Linked DNA regions of Kluyveromyces lactis. The protein of the gene in region 1 binds, or shares a complex with, the protein of each later gene. Links are inferred from orthologs where the notes say so. Each region holds a gene or a part of one and is shown on either strand. Other genes may lie near its edges.

Region 1 (3,937 bases):
TATCTGCGTGTACATTTAGAATTTCTTGATGATTATTCCTAAAAAAATGAGTATCCAAATAAGCTTTCAAATTGTTATTTTCGGCTGTGATCTGACTTAAGCCCTCCTTTAACCGATCTGTATGTTCATCGACTTTTGAAAACATATCGTTCAATTCAGACAGCATCGAATTAAAGAACTTTGGCTGATCTCCCACTACTTTCTGAGCCAGATTTTCACACATGATAATAGCATCCTTCTTAACAGTTTCCAACAGTGTTTCTAGGCTATCTTTTACATTATTGATATCATCATCAATAGTGAAGGACTGTTCCAGAGCTTGCTGTTTTAAGTTGTCCAATTTCGTTTCAATTTTTCTCCGATACTCTAAGATATTATCATATAACATTTTCTGGATATCGGATTGTAACCTTTGTTCATGATCCTCATGTGTTTTCAAAGCTCCTTGCATGTTCCGTACAGCATCTTTCAATTTCATGATCATGTTCGTTAGTTCAATCTCGTTTTTATGTTTTAAATCTATCTTCTCGTATAGATAATCCATGCTTGATTGCAAGTTCCGGATTTGCAACCTTTGAGATTCGATTGTATCTTGCGAAGATTTTTTGTCTTTGTGTAACAATTGATTCTGAGAAGAAAGCTTTTCGATTTCTCGTCTAGACTCTTGGATTTCTGTCTTGTAGTTTTCTATATCATTCATAACTTCATTGTAATGAAGGTGGCTCATATATATCCCCTCTTTCGATTTGGTAGAAAGGAAATCTGACTTTAATTTAGCCAGCTCATGTGAAATATTTTTCACAAGTATATCTTTCATCATGAAACTACCCAACTGAGGTTTATTCTTGATATTTTTCGCCTTTGTAGCGTATTCCAATGTACTTGATGTTTCCTCTGAATTTATTTTCGCCGGTGATATAGTAGCAATCAAAGCTGTCTTTGTATTGCCGCCTAGAGAATCCTGTAGTAGTCTTGTCAATTTTGATTCTCGAAATGGGATATGGGCATTTTTATCAGCCAACGAATTTATTACACGGCCTAATGTTAATAAACTCTGATTAATGGACCCTGCCTCTTTTGCCCTTTGATTTTGTGCCCCCGATCGACTGATATTTTCTGATCCTGCAAGATCTACTAAGTTGATCTTAGAAACTCTGAAAGTTTCGCCATTGAAATTTTTGTACAACGTTAGAGTAAAAATGGTATGTGATCTACTCGAAACGTCATTCATCTTCGTAGAAGCGACCTGTCTATGACTCAAGCCCTTTTGAAGTAATCGTAAGCCTTCCTTGGCGTCAGTTATGTGAAACTCTTGCAAATGCTGAATATAGATTGCAGAACTTTGCTCATTAACCTGGCCCTGAGTCTGCTGCTGCTGCTGCTGCTGCTGCTGCTGTTGTTGTTGTTGTTGTTGTTGTCCATTAGATTGAGATTGGGTTGGAAGCTTTGGTTTCGGTTTATATAATGCTCCTGCGCGTATTCTTCTTTTAGCTTCTAAATTCACGGTAGGAGAATTCGATCTAGAACTTGACCGGCTATTCACATTGGTCACATTGTTACTGCTGTTAAGCGAATCGTATATTCTTAACTTTCTACTGTTATTACCGCCGGAGTCCTGGCCGTCATCCAAAAGATCCTTCAATTCTTCATTGTATAACTCAATAAATGAGCACTTTACCATGTAATCACTTTCTTGCACCTCTAAAGTGTCAAATAGTTTGAACAAGACTCTTGGAATGATGCCTGCTGCTTCACTCAATTCCCCATCGTACAATTTTTCATCACCAGTCATAGTATATGTCTTACCTGTTGAGGTCATGCCGTAAACCAACATCGTACAGTTATATCCCTTGATGAAGTCATGGAACATTGGGTCTGCAATTTCTTTAAATACCAGACTTTGATCAGCACTTGGTCCGAATACTTTATCCACTGTATACGTTTTTGAATTCATTCTTGCAGTGATTCCTATGTCACCGGAGGTATTGATCGAAACCTCATTAGCACCAATAACATCGGGACAGTTCACAACAACAGAGCTTTTCGCTTTAATCTCTTTCTCGTTACGACCACGGCATCGAACAGCTACTGTTATATTCAATTCATCGCCTTCAGGACTCCCGTTGGTCGCAGACATTATGGTTTATTTCAAGAATGATTCGCAAACGTGATCCTATTATTATACCAACAACACGTTCTAATAAATTCAAAAAAATAATACAATTACTACGCAATGCTATAGCGGTTTTAGAATACTTTAGGCGGGTATTCTTGGGTTTCAATTGTCACGGTAGAACTATGCTATTCTTTGTTTACCTGACATGCAATTTGTCTTGTTTACCATTATTCGATATTGTAAACATTGAAAAAGAACAAAGAAATACCCGTATCGAATGATTTAAATATCACGTGATTATTAAACACCTTACCTATCTTTGTAGTTTTGTTATATATGCCGGTTAACCAGTCAAGAGGAATACTATATGCACTTTTGAAGAGGCGCTGCGTAGCATTCGTTGATACAAGAGTTTATGTTTCTGGGCTGTGTAAAATTTATTGTATTGAATCAGCCGAATCATTAGGTTTATCGTTAGATTTCTTATGTTTTCTTCTTCTTTTGTTCTTAGAAGTGCCGGAAACATCGCCCGCTTCGGTAGGGGTAGATATGTTGTTAGACGAAGCAGACAGTGAAGAAATTGAACCAGTTGACTCAGTCGTTTTCTTCTTCTTCATACTTAGTGGATTAGGTTCCTTAGGCCCCTTTCTTTTTTTCGGTTTATTCTCCTGATTCTCGGCACCTGCCTCATCATTTTCGTCACGCGCAATACCCGCAAACTTGGGGTCATTCAAACCCTTGTATAGTTTCTGTTCCTCCACTTCTCGACTCACTTTCTCACTGGCATTACTTAACGGCTCCATCACCATCACTGATCTGTTCATGTATACCAAGGGAACACCAGGAATCTTCCTTAGCCTTCTTCTAATTTCAACATCCTGTGTCGCTACCACATATCTGTGCTTATTCTTCCCATTCACATCCACAACACTCGTGAGACATTCTAGTACGCTCTTTGGCTCCTTTGGATCATGGTTGCAACGACGTCTTTCAAACTGTTTTCCTGCATCGATGGCTCCTTGATTATTCGTTTGGTATAATGACTGCATACAACATTGAGTAATCATAGGCTTTACCTCAGCTTGCAAAGTCCTTTGCAATCCCTTCACAAAATCAAAAGATGAGTTGAAAGTCTCCAGAACTAGTTGATCGTCTACCAAGACTTGATAGGGTTGTCTAAACTTGAAAGTGTGGTTGTAAACCAACATCTGCTTTCTATACGACTTGGCTCTCTTTTGACGCATTTTTTTCTTTTAAAATGTATCAATGGATCTATTGAGTGATAAACCTGGTCACTATAGCCGTCGTAGTGTGGATAGATATATTAAACAGAAGCTGTTGAAGCTACACCATCGCATCTCATCGAACCTCATCGCATAGTATCTTTATATTTGAAAATCAAAAATTTTCTGTAATGTAAAGATTGAAAAAGAAACAAAGTAAAGCATTGAAAAGGACTGCGACCAGTGCATATCGTACGCATATCAGCACATCCTTTAAATTTAAAAAGTTCATACATATATATACAGGTCATTGATATACACTTCTTGCAATCAAAATGATGAGTAGCTCGATATACCAGTTGACCTGAAGTATAAATATTACAATTAACATGATTTTTACGTGCCTTCGATATGATATCAGCAATGGGAACCTTACATCAATGACAGTATCCACATAATCAAATACAGATTTGAGACTGCTACTAAATGTGTTTAATATCGAAGGTTGATCGATGTTGCTTGATACTGGAATTGGAGTTGATTGAGTAACAATTGTCCCTATTGATTCAGATTGTCTCTGAGGATTGGCAGATCTTCG
Region 2 (3,130 bases), about 370 kb from region 1:
GGTTGTTGGTCTATTTTTGAGAGATGAGAGGGGAGATGAGCTTCAGTTCAATATTTCACATCAGTTTAGTTCCTTATTAATTTTTTTCTTCGGGTACTATTGTGAAAAATTTATTTCTTTTTGTTCTTGGTATGTTTCGTTGATCTGTGAAATGATTGATCAGGCCTGGGGAAGAGGATAAGTCATTGAAACATTCACATACTACTGTGTTGACATCTGAGTCAAATATATCATGAAGAATCACGTATTATAATGTGAAGACTAAAATTATGTAGTAAGATATGATATTATTAAAAAAAAATAGAAACAAATACTAAAGAAATGTTTTGGGTCACATTGATAGTACATATCATTGAGCAGAGAAACAAAAAGCATATAAATTATAGTAAGGGTGGTATCATATTTCGAAATTTTCCGCTTCTACTAGTGGTGTGGGGAATAGTATTAGAATAGTAGAAGTAACGAAAGGAAAACTATAAGAAGAAAGAAAATATCTTTCTGAAGTACATTGTTTATTGTTTATCTCGTGTCCAAATAATTTGCTTTCAGTGGTACTGCTCTCAAAATGATAAACTTATCTTCTGTACACATCTGATCTTTGTTCCTTATTCCTTTTTTTTTCCTGCTGAAGTTTTCCTTTATATTCTTTACTCGAAGTTTTCAGCCATTGGTTGTTCGTCAACGAATTCCAATTCTTCGTCATCTTCAACAGTAGCATCTTGATATTGTTGGTATTCACTTACTAAGTCATTCATGTTAGATTCAGCTTCAGAAAATTCAATTTCTTCCATACCTTCATTAGTATACCAATGCAAGAAAGCTCTCTTCTTGAACATAACACTAAATTGATCTCCGACCCTTCTGAATAATTCTTGGATGGATGTAGAGTTACCAATGAAAGTAGCAGACATGTCTAAGTCCTTTGGAGGTACAGAACAGACGGCTGTTTGCACGTTGTTTGGAATCCATTCTACGAAGTACGACGAGTTTCTAGTTTGAACCTTATGCATTTCATCTTCAACTTCTTTCACGCTTACTTTACCACGGAAGAATGCAGCAACAGTCAAGTACCTTCCGTTTCTTGGATCAGATGCAGCCATCATATTTCTTGAATCGAACATTTGTTGGGTCAATTCTGATACAGATAGGGATCTGAAAGATTGGGCACCAATCGAGGTTAATGGAGCATAACCAACCATGAAGAAGTGTAATCTTGGGAAGGGCACCAAATTCACGGCCAATTTTCTTAGATCTGAGTTCAATTGACCTGGGTAACGTAGGGATGTAGTGACACCAGACATGACACTTGAAACTAAATGGTTCAAGTTCGCATAATCTGGTTGTGGTAATTTTAGAGTAGTTTGACATATATCGTAAAGGGCTTCATTATCGATACAGAAAGTTTCATCAGCGTGTTCGACTAATTGGTGTACAGATAGAGTGGCATTGTATGGTTCTACAACGGTATCTGAAGTCTTTGGGGATGGGACAACGGAGAAAGTAGCCATCATTCTGTCAGGGAATTCTTCTCTGATCTTAGAGATCAACAAAGTACCCATACCAGAACCGGTACCACCACCAAGGGAATGGGCGATTTGGAAACCTTGCAAAGAGTCACAACCTTCAGCTTCACGTCTGACAACGTCCATGACAGAATCCACCAATTCAGCACCCTCAGTGTAATGACCTTTAGCCCACACGTTACCTGCTGAAGATTGACCGAAAATGTAGTTATCTGGTCTGAACAAAGTACCAATCTTAGAGTTACGTACAGCATCAATGGTACCAGGTTCCAAATCAATGTTAACGGATCTTGGAACCCATTTACCAGAAGAGGCTTCGTTAAAGTAAACGTTCAATCTAGCCTTTTGAATATCATCGATACCGTGATAGTTACCTTCAAAATCCAAACCGTGTTCACCACAAATAGTTTCCCAAAACGCAGCACCAATTTGGTTACCACATTGACCTGTGGACAAATGAATGATCTCTCTCATGTTTTAGAATATCTCTGAGCGCGTTATTGATCTGATCTCAAAAAATGACAATTGAAGAAACACAGCACAGGCAAATTGTAGAAAGACTTGGTGTTGATACAATCGAGGGGTATCTATAATCCAGTAATTGTTGATCCTTGTTCTTTCAAGAAAAAAAAATAATTATGCGATCTCTCTGTCCTTTACAAGAAAAAAGTGAAATATAATATGGGTAAAAATAGTAGTCTTGTCCACAGTATATTAAACAAACAAACTAACAAATCGAAATAGACGAGTTCTCACAGCTGTTATCTATAAAGTTATCTCTAACCCGTGCAAGCCTGTTCACAATCACGTCTGTGTTCACTTATTTAACCACTTTAAATTGTTTATTTATTTGTTTTTATTTGTTTATTTTTTTCCTCCTTCTCTTTCCTCATATCTTTGTTTGTATTTTGATCTTTGTTTCACTTCTTTAGGCAATTTTCGAGCACGTCTATTTCCCTTTGTGGGTTGCTAAGTGTGCGGGTAATACGGGAAACGGAAACTTACATCGCGTGATTTGCACGTGACTGTGATGTGTGAATTCCTGCGTAGTGTCAGTTCATCTAAAGACAAGAGTTGAGGTTGCAAGTGAGCAACACATTCCCCTAAGATTTAGAATAGTTGTCGAAGTGTTCCATGAGTCCAAAGACTGAACAGACTATTTTCTCGGATCATTTTCTTCACAGCTGACTTTCCGTATATGATAGAATCATACGGAAACTGGAATACTGCAATTTTCCCTAACTTTCGATTCTAGCTGACATTTAAAGACGATGTGAAAATTTAAAGAGAAACGGATTTCAGGATTAGGAAATTTAAAGAGGGAAAAAACGTCCAGTACAGTTTGTTAAGAGAAGGAAACCTATTAGTTGGAGAAGCGAAAGAGGGTTTGACTAGTTGGAATTGATCTGTCCAGTGCTACATTTTTATGTATATAGTAATCGGAAGGTTACTTTGATTAAGCTACGGTATTCTATTTCGAACCGAATCGAATCGGATCAGGTTAGCAGGTCTCTTTTTTTTTTTTTTTTCTTATATTTTTGGCTATCAATTGATTAACTGATTGTGTATTGAAGACGAAAGCTGTTTACATATTTAGCTTTTCAAGG

The links.
Region 2: the proteins of CIN8 (region 1) and TUB2 are in contact, whole or in part, in a cryo-EM structure (PDB 6S8M), measured with the Schizosaccharomyces pombe proteins. The link is inferred for Kluyveromyces lactis from reciprocal best matches to the Schizosaccharomyces pombe genes cut7 and nda3. Residues at the interface, in NP_594527.1 of Schizosaccharomyces pombe: Glu217, Arg233, Val234, Phe235, Glu236, Arg345, Gln352, Arg359, Ala368, His369, His370, Pro372, Arg374, Glu375, Ser376, Arg380; in NP_596650.1 of Schizosaccharomyces pombe: Pro160, Asp161, His190, Gln191, Glu194, Asn195, Phe260, Pro261, Arg262, Met406, Glu410, Ser413, Asp417, Ser420, Glu421, Gln424.

The regions. Positions count from the first base shown.
Region 1 is NC_006040.1:89,310-93,246, reverse strand, and holds the start of CIN8 (kinesin motor protein CIN8), read right to left. Parts: upstream 2,138-3,937; coding exon 1-2,137. Other genes in the region: rRNA-binding ribosome biosynthesis protein UTP23, read right to left, coding at 2,554-3,360; KLLA0_D01001g (uncharacterized protein), read right to left, coding at 3,647-3,937. UniProt on the Schizosaccharomyces pombe protein: Could be a spindle pole body motor. On transition from G2 to M phase of the cell cycle, the spindle pole body duplicates; the daughter pole bodies seed microtubules which interdigitate to form a short spindle that elongates to span the nucleus at metaphase.
Region 2 is NC_006040.1:454,614-457,743, forward strand, and holds TUB2 (beta-tubulin), read right to left. Parts: upstream 1,998-3,130; coding exon 648-1,997; downstream 1-647. UniProt on the Schizosaccharomyces pombe protein: Tubulin is the major constituent of microtubules, a cylinder consisting of laterally associated linear protofilaments composed of alpha- and beta-tubulin heterodimers.